3 linked regions of the Tribolium castaneum genome follow. The main gene of each other region encodes a partner of the protein of the gene in region 3 in a complex. Links are inferred from orthologs where the notes say so. Each region holds a gene or a part of one and is shown on either strand. Other genes may lie near its edges. The genes, in order: Cdc45, dpa and DNA replication complex GINS protein PSF1.

Region 1 (2,708 bases), on a different chromosome or scaffold from region 3:
CCATAAAACTGTCCATAAATTGTTCATAAAACAAAATAGAAAACAAAATTATAGTAATACAATTGTATTTCAAATTTCACGTAAAGATGTCTGTACTTTTAATCGTTTTAATTATTAACCACAAAAAAGGTTTTATTAAAATTTTTGTTTATTAAATGTTTCAATTAGTGTAACCAGAATAAAAAAGTTATCAATGAACATTAAAGTATTTCATTTATGGAAATACCATGATTAAAATTTTGACCATTACTGCAAATAAGGTTCACTGGAAATATTTAACAACACCTACACAAGACCACAGTCACCACAAGAGATAACTTAAGACCAAATTTTTCCAATTCTTCTTCAAACTGATAACCATTTATAATTTTTTTTAAAACAAATGAAAGATTAAAAAAAATCAAGTTTGTCACGACGTTTTGACCCTTTAAGAGGGCAGAAAAATTGTCGATTTGTTTGCAAATTTAAATTATTAGTTCATTAATGCAAAATAAGTTCAAGAGTCGGTTTACAGAACATTTTAATTGCAATAAAAATTTTTCTGAGATTAACTTTACATTTGTCAATCTATTTTCAGTGGCAACTTAATGTCGAATTAGTTTTATTCCGAATTAAGTTTTAATTTCGCTTTCTGTAAAGTTAACCGGTTCTAAATGCCCAATTATTATTTCATTTTATTTACAATACCATTTCCAATTCATAAATTATTTAAGTAGTTAAATTGTCACTGCATTTTGTATCTGTTTAATTTTTATAAGTTGTTGAATTCAAAAAAGCGAACCCACAAAAAATAATCTCTTTTTTAAATTGAATTGCCACAAATTTTTTGGAAATGAAAAATTATAACTTTAAGAAAACTTGAAGCTTTAAAACTTTGCTTTAAGATTTTCGAACTCAATCCTTTCTTAATTTTTTTCTTTCCGCGATAAATCAATTATTTTGCAACAAAACCTTTTACTTTAAAAAACATATTAAACAGCAAATTAAAGGATTTATGATGGGATTGGTTTATGGTCGCGTCATTTTCTTTTTGGGCGGCTGTACGTTTAGTTTAGTTACTTTTTGGGTGAATTTTGCCTCAGCGGTGGAATCCCCAAAATAACACACGTCCCTAAATCTAGATTTTTTGGTGCTGAAATAATTAAAGGCAAGTCAGGGGCTTTACGATTCCGTGACATTGACACATAAGCCCGTAATATAAATTGTGCCAACAATAACAAAATATATTGGTTTGAAAACATATACCAGTCTAAACAACCCTATAAAACAAAAATTAAAATCAAACAACTTGACTAACAATTCAACTCACTTCTTGTATGATGTAATAAACAAAATTCCCGGCTGTGATAATTTGTTTCATATCAATGGCCGCTTGTACAGTCTTAAAAATCGTCTTTGTGATTATCTTTGCACGTTCTATTGCTTTTTGTACTACGTCTTTTTTATTACGAGTGAGGCAATCAAGTGCCGAATTAAAACACTCTTCTGGCGTTTCCTTCGGCTAAAAACAGCTATTTATGTGAGAGAATTATCAAAATGATAAATCACCGATGACTCCAAAATTGCAAACATGGCGTACACAATGTCAGACGCACAATATTTATTCCGGTAGCCATATTGTAACACAAATGAGGTAAAAACTAAATCTTCTAAGTTGTATTTTTCCGATAATTTTTCAATACTTTGGTGGAATTCTTTACGTAGTTGGAGATCCATTGATTCGAACGCCTGCTGGCTCTGCGATAAGGGCAACCTGCAAGTTGAGAATGAGCCCACCTTGTTGCCGCCACCCACCTTGGATCTTTTTTAAGGGAGAATCATTGAAAAGTATAAGCATGAGCTTTATAAATAAAATTAAACATAATTTATAAGCCGTTTGACTTATTAAGTATGTCTTACCTTTTTGGCACATCCTTGATTTTTTTAAGTAAAAATAATTTTAAATATTATGTACAAGGTGCGGCATTTCGGATGTGGTATCTCCGAAACTAAGAAGTTTAGAGAAAAAATATTGACACATTCTCGGGTCCGTTTTTTGAGAAAATAATTTTGGTAAAAACCGAATCCCGCTATCGTCTTTTGTTTTCAATTTATAAACAAAAGTTGACATTTTAGTGAAATCTTTAAAAATCATATCTTCCTTATTATAAAAGATACACATTTAAAGCAAAAACATTATACAGGCACAGAGAATCTAATAATGTTATCAGCGATTTTTGTAAACCTTTCGTTTAGCTGTAATAACTTAAAATTGTATGTTTTTAAATAGAAATCATAGTTGGCTGACATTTTCGAAAAGCTTATGTTTTTCTGAACTTAAAACAATATAAATACAGTTTGATACTTTTACATACTTTTGATAAAAAATAAATTTAAAATATTTAAAAGTAGTTGGTCATGGAAAAATTATTTTACATAGAAGGTGTAAATAAACTAGAAATTTTGTGAACGGTTATTAAAGTAAAAAATGTGAAATTATCAAAATAAGCTATGTTAAAGTTATTTTCAATTAAACAAATATACGATCGTCGCAGATTTTAATTACATAAAAAATGTGAAGAAAATTAAAAATATGTCACTACCATTTGATGACACTTTTTTATGATTTAGTGAAGTGGAATGGAACAAATAATACACAATTTCGCATCCTACAAATCACCATTTCATACTAGTTTCTACGGAAGATCATTGACTTGAAAGCTGGTAGT
Region 2 (3,767 bases), on a different chromosome or scaffold from region 3:
TTTATTCGCTGGTGTACGTCGTCGCGAGTGGTTGTAAAAAAGATAAACTTATGAAAATGTTACTAGCTTCAAGGAAATCATTGTTGTATAGGCCGTTTTTGTCAAATGCGTTTTGCCTACTGAAAGTTTTTGTATTCGCTTCATTTATACGAGTGTTATTTTTGTATATTTTGTACATAAACCTAGGTAATGAAAATAAATGTGATAATTATAAATTATCTGAAGGATACGTCGATGTATCATTTTTTTCAAAAATAAATGCCAAGTCTGTTACTTAAATACGACTTTTTATATATCGTATAAGAGATTATATCAGAATTTGTACATGTTGTATATAACTGTATATAAATAACTATTTTGCCTTGTAAATATTACCTACCTTTAATTAAATCGAGTGTTCACGACTACATACCTACATTTTTTGTAATTATTTGAAGGGTGTAATGGTTATTCGTTATCCAATCAAATTTCATCTGTGAAAATTTAAATATAAATGTATTGAAAAAACAATGTTTTATTTCACCCATACCAATTTTTTTTACCTTCCACAAATTTTAGCAAAATAATGGTATGTGCCTGATGAAATTTATTACATAACATTTTGATATTTTACTATTTAATGGTAAAAATCATTTTCTCTGAATAAAATTTTATTAACTTAGTAAGTAGTCCGTTCACTGTAGAATTACACGTTCGTAATGTTGGTTGCATACCATTCATTTTTTCTATGTAGGGTTAAATTCATGATAAAAAATTCAATTTTGGGGCCTTATATTGCTATCTTTATTGTTATATCTTTAATAGAAAGGTTTAAATGCTGTAGTGCATAAGATGCATAAGATTTTCACAATGTCCGAATTTGAGAAATACGGGGAGCTCAAGCACAAGAACATCAAAATTTTGACCTTAAATTAATAACAAAATGTGAAACCTACCTTTTTCTCGATCTGGAACACACCCAACACCAATTCTGCACGATTTTTCACCAAAAAAAGTCTTAAGCAACAAACACCAACAAATTTTCACAACAAACAATAAAGCCACTTGATTTTTAAAACAAAATTCTGTGCGCATGCGGCTTTGTAGCTAAGGCAACTCCAAGCAGCCTTGAAAATAATGTAATAACGTAAACTTTATAAAATTCGGTTTTAACAGAATTTTTATCTACAAATCAACATTGTTACAAAGTTTTAATTTTACAAACAATGGGGTAAACAATCATTAAAACCACGTTGAAACTTTAGCCACTATTAACAAAGCGCGCGTCATCTGCAACCTCTTCCACGAACTACTTAGCGTTTTCCCGCCTTTTTTACAGCAACAACAGTTGGTTAATTGTGTAAAAAAACATTATCAACACATTTTTTGTTGTTTTATTTACGGTAAGTGATTAAATCAGCGATAACTCCACCTAAAAACCCAAATTAGATGTCTTCCCCAGCCCCCCATCGTACCCCTCGCGCAAACCGCGACGATGATGCGCCCACTCCTCGGGGACGCAGACCTGCCGGGGGTCAAACCCCTCGAGGTCACCGCACCCCAGCTCGTGAGGACCCTCCCCAAACCCCATCTCGGACCCCCAGACGGAACCCAACTCCTGCCAAAAGCGACACCATTGATACCCCAATGCGTTGGGGCGGAGCCCGACGTGATTTGGACGCCGACGGCGGGGAAATCCCCTCGTCTCCGGCTGGGGTCACAAGCCCACCGGTGGCAATGAGCGAGATTGATTTATCTTCGCCACTTAATTACGGGACTCCTTGCTCTTTGGGGTCCATCAGGACCCCCAGATCGGGGATTAGGGGGACCCCAATTAGGATGCGGCCCGATGTGAGGACTGATCGGAGGATGAGACAAGTTAATGTCGGAGGAGAGGTTCAACAACTGTTTCAAAAATTGAGCTCGTTTTGACTCGATTTTTTTAGTTGGATCCGGTTGCTGAGGGTGATGAGGGCAGTACAGCCCCGCATTTGGTCATTTGGGGCACTAATGTCTCAGTTGCTGAATGTAAAGAGAAGTTCAAACAGTTTGTTTTGCGGTTTATTGATCCAAATGCGGAAGAAGATGAAAGAACTGATGATATGAATGTTAACGAACCCTTGTATTTTCAAAAATTGGACGAGGTGCGAACCTTATCATGATCAAAGAGGCGTTGACTTTGTTATTACGTTGGCAATGCTATCAGATTTAAGCGTCAGACAAATTTAAAAAAAACAATCGTATTTGTCTTTTTTATCTGTTGCCAACTTAATTTCAAAATCATTGATCACAAACTTGATCGTGTAGCAATTATTTTTCGTAGATAAACACCCTCGAAGAGCCGTTTTTGAACGTCAACTGTTCTCACATTGAGACTTTTGACGCCAATTTATACCGCCAATTGGTTTCGTATCCTCAAGAAGTCATTCCAATTTTTGACATGATGATCAACGAAATGTTTTACGAGCGTTATCCTGCTGCTGAATTGGAGCACCAGATTCAAGTCCGGCCCTTCAATGCGGAAAAAACACGAAATATGAGGGCCCTGAACCCTGAAGGTTAAATTCCTTCCAAAAAAAAATCTTTTAATATAAAATTTTATTTTTTTGCACAGATATTGATCAGTTGATCACAATCACTGGCATGGTCATCCGTACATCGAATTTAATGCCTGAGATGAGAGAGGCATTTTTCAAATGTATAGTTTGTAACTTTACAACGACTGTGGAAATTGACAGGGGGCGCATTACCGAACCCACTCTTTGCACCAGTTGTAACACCAATCACTGCTTTACTTTGGTCCACAATCGGTCGCAGTTCACCGACAAACAGATGATCAAATTGCAGGAATCCCCGGGTATTTTTTTAATTTATGTTTTCTCCTCGGATTTATTTTTATTTTTTATTCTTAACCATTCTACAAGATGATCCCAGTTTATCTTCATCCATGATATTTCTTCTTTTCTAATTTATTTCAACTTTTTTATATTTTACACTGAAAAAAATTGTTTGAACTATAAGAAAAAATTTATTTTTGTCGCCAACCTCGGGAAGAATTGAAGATTTTTTATTATCTATCTTCTATTTAATCCACACTTAACACTTACCCACTTAACTAAACGTTACAGTTACATAAAAAAAACGTTTTCTAGTTAAATCATAAGCACAATTTTTTATTTTTTTTTATTATTATAATGTTTTTGGTCAGACGACATGCCTGCGGGCCAAACCCCGCACACCGTCGTCCTCTTCGCCCACAACGACCTGGTGGACGCCGTCCAACCGGGCGACAGGGTCACCGTAACGGGGATTTACCGAGCGCAACCCCTTCAAGTGAACCCCCGACAACGCAACCTTCGCGCGGTTTACAAAACACACATTGACGTCCTCCACTTCCGTAAAATCGACACGAAACGCTTATACGAAGAGGAGGACGGGTAAAAACACCACAGTGAAAAAATAACTCACTTCCCCTCTTATTCTTCCAGCAAAGACCATCGTTTTCCACCCGAACGGATCGAATTATTACAACTCCTTTCAGAAAAAGAGGATATTTACGAACGGCTAGCTCACGCTTTAGCGCCGTCGATTTACGAAAACGCCGACGTCAAAAAAGGGATTCTCTTACAACTGTTTGGCGGAACGAAGAAAAAATTTGTTACGTCAGGTCGTACGAATTTTCGGTCCGAAATCAATATTTTGCTGTGTGGAGATCCGGGAACCTCCAAGTCACAACTTTTACAATACGTTTATAATTTGGTTCCCCGAAGTCAGTACACTTCAGGGAA
Region 3 (2,422 bases):
AAATTTTCCAAAAGTGATAAAAAAAATATTTAGTTGTCCCATTTCATTTCTTAATAGCATAATTTTTGGAACAATTTGCCCCAAAAATAAAATTAAAAATGTCTATTTAGTTAAGTATTCATTGTTATTATTAGATATTATAATATTACTCTTATACTTGGTTGCTAAAAAGTATGGATACAGTTAAATATTAAATAATAATTAATTGAAATCTTGTATTTGCTTAAAAGTACTGTTTAAATTCTATCGTTTTAGATGTCTATAAAATTTTCATTTACATTAATTTTGTTTCTGGGGATACAAGGCTAACTTTTTTTACACAGCAAGAAGGGTCAAATTTATTTTTTTAGTTCTTGATGTAACACATGCTTATCTCATTAAAAAAATATCTAACTAATAAAATTTTCTCTGCTTTGGAAATGTTGTCTTTATCTAACGTTAGCTCGTTTCCGCCTGAACTTTGACCAAAAAATAAGTTAAAGTTAATAATGGTTATTAAATAACACTTTTGTCTGTAAAAGAACACATTTTAATAAAAAAATTAGCTGTAGCCATACTTATTAGCCACTTTGTAAGAGCATTGACTGTCCATCTAGATTGCTTCTTCGTTAATTTATTATACGAATATTTTGCCATCAATTGTTTAATTATCTTCAAAAAATGTTTTTTGTAGTTACGACTTTTTTGCTTCGAAACTTCAAGAAAATTTGTATTTCAATTGTCGTATATTGAAAAACAGCACTCTAAAAAGATATGCATAAAATAACGTGCCAATATCATTTTTGCAAATAAATCGTTTATTAAAGTTCAAAATTTCATACTTCAATTATATGAAATAAAGATACCATAGAAAATTTAAGAAACATGAAATAACTCAAAAAATACGTAAAAGTAGTGACGAAATTTTTGCGTAGTAGGGCAGCATAACTTACCGTAGATGTGACATCACACAAGGATACGCGTGATTCGTGTAAACCCGCCTTTAGTTGTGGCCTGTCATTATAAATGCACCTTTACTGTCATTTGGCGGGCTTTTAGGTTAGAAAACTATTTAGACAAAATTTTAAATCGAAATGTTTTGTGAGAAAGCCCACGTTTTGATCAAAGAATTATCTCGAAACCGGGACGCTTTACCGCCTTACAACGTAAAAATTACCAAATTGTTCCTCACTCAATATTTTACAATTTTTTTTCAGACTGATCTTCTCAATGAAATCAACACTGAAGTCAAGCAACTCATTACTCAAAACCAAGAAGATGCGTAAGTTTACACACTTGATCCTCGAAACCAATACTTCAGCGTTTTTTTTTTCAGTCAAATTTCTGAAGATAGTCGGGTTATGAATCACGCCTCTTATTTACCTACAGTCAAAATACGGCATGCGGCTATCAAACGGAACATTCGATGCATTCTGGCTTATCACTACAATCGGTTAAAATGTCTCAGAAACATGCGCTGGCAATTCGGCAGTATTTTACCGCCAGATGTTAAATCGAATTTAAGTCAATCGGAAATTGAATGGTTTTCGAAATATTCCAGCAATTTAGTACAATATATGCGATCAATTGGTGATGAAGGGATTAATTTAGCTGTGGATTTAAAACCGCCAAAGTCTTTGTATATTGAGGTCAGGTGTCTAACGGATTATGGACAGTTTGAATTGAACGATGGTTCGGTGTTGTTATTGAAGGAAAACAGTCGTCATTACTTACCGAGAAGCGAATGCGAGGAATTAATACGACAAGGGGTCCTTGAACACGTTGTTTGAATTTGGCGCCTTTTTTTTAAACATCAAATGTCCTTGAAAATATTTAAATTACCTTATTTTTGTACGTGGTGATTCAATACTAAATAATTAGTTGTAACATAATCTTAAATTAATCTTATTTCGTAAAATAAAAGCGTCCAGTGTCGCCAACTCTGATTAAATTCCATGTTTTAGTGTTTGTAAGTAAATTGATACCTGAGTTATACACGGTGATTCTGTTAGGGCCTACATTAGTAACTTTTAACTTGTAATATAGCTAGAGCTTTAAAATTTTGTACACGATCTAAATCGACTATTCTGAATTCAACTTATTTTTTTTCAAAATGGCTGAGCTTTCGGAACTACAAAAAATTGGCGCCAAGTTTGAAGTTAAATCACTACTTCGCAGTTTTCATAGTTAATCAAGTAGAACTTGCAAAATGGTCAACAATTGTCAAACTTATTTAATTTTTAGCTGGTTCATTATCAAATAAGCAGTAAAACAATAATATTTAATTATGTTTCATTATAATTTTGTGAATTATGTAAAGTAAGGCAGTTTTACGGTTGACAATACAGAAGATTTTAGAAGATCTTTCAAACCTTTGGCTATCAAATGCAAAAAGAATTATTCACTTATTATAAAGGGTTCACGAGCTGTGATATTTCAAATG

What was found.
Region 1: the proteins of DNA replication complex GINS protein PSF1 (region 3) and Cdc45 are in contact, whole or in part, in a cryo-EM structure (PDB 6XTY), measured with the Homo sapiens proteins. The link is inferred for Tribolium castaneum from reciprocal best matches to the Homo sapiens genes GINS1 and CDC45. Residues at the interface, in NP_066545.3 of Homo sapiens: Leu146, Tyr147, Glu149, Arg151, Glu158, Thr165, Ser166, Val167, Leu168, Lys170, Lys171, Asn172, Ser173, Gln174, His175, Phe176, Leu177, Pro178, Leu195; in NP_003495.1 of Homo sapiens: Arg18, Gln37, Phe40, Gln41, His44, Val45, Gln46, Tyr47, Thr48, Leu49, Val50, Pro51, Glu64, His65, Gln68, Phe69, Thr394, Asp395, Ile398, Leu401, Asp402.
Region 2: DNA replication complex GINS protein PSF1 (region 3) and dpa share a complex: the UniProt entries of both Homo sapiens proteins name them as parts of the CMG helicase complex. The link is inferred for Tribolium castaneum from reciprocal best matches to the Homo sapiens genes GINS1 and MCM4.

What each region holds. Positions count from the first base shown.
Region 1 is NC_087401.1:7,775,221-7,777,928, forward strand, and holds part of Cdc45 (cell division control protein 45 homolog), read right to left. Parts: intron 1,754-2,708; coding exon 1,549-1,753; intron 1,502-1,548; coding exon 1,310-1,501; intron 1,260-1,309; coding exon 1,060-1,259; intron 1-1,059. UniProt on the Homo sapiens protein: Required for initiation of chromosomal DNA replication. Core component of CDC45-MCM-GINS (CMG) helicase, the molecular machine that unwinds template DNA during replication, and around which the replisome is built.
Region 2 is NC_087396.1:22,084,224-22,087,990, reverse strand, and holds the start of dpa (DNA replication licensing factor MCM4), read left to right. Parts: upstream 1-1,224; 5' UTR 1,225-1,382; intron 1,383-1,428; coding exon 1,429-1,875; intron 1,876-1,925; coding exon 1,926-2,123; intron 2,124-2,302; coding exon 2,303-2,537; intron 2,538-2,593; coding exon 2,594-2,836; intron 2,837-3,187; coding exon 3,188-3,416; intron 3,417-3,467; coding exon 3,468-3,767. UniProt on the Homo sapiens protein: Acts as a component of the MCM2-7 complex (MCM complex) which is the replicative helicase essential for 'once per cell cycle' DNA replication initiation and elongation in eukaryotic cells.
Region 3 is NC_087400.1:16,460,492-16,462,913, reverse strand, and holds DNA replication complex GINS protein PSF1, read left to right. Parts: upstream 1-980; 5' UTR 981-1,073; coding exon 1,074-1,145; intron 1,146-1,196; coding exon 1,197-1,261; intron 1,262-1,315; coding exon 1,316-1,769; 3' UTR 1,770-1,919; downstream 1,920-2,422. UniProt on the Homo sapiens protein: Required for correct functioning of the GINS complex, a complex that plays an essential role in the initiation of DNA replication, and progression of DNA replication forks.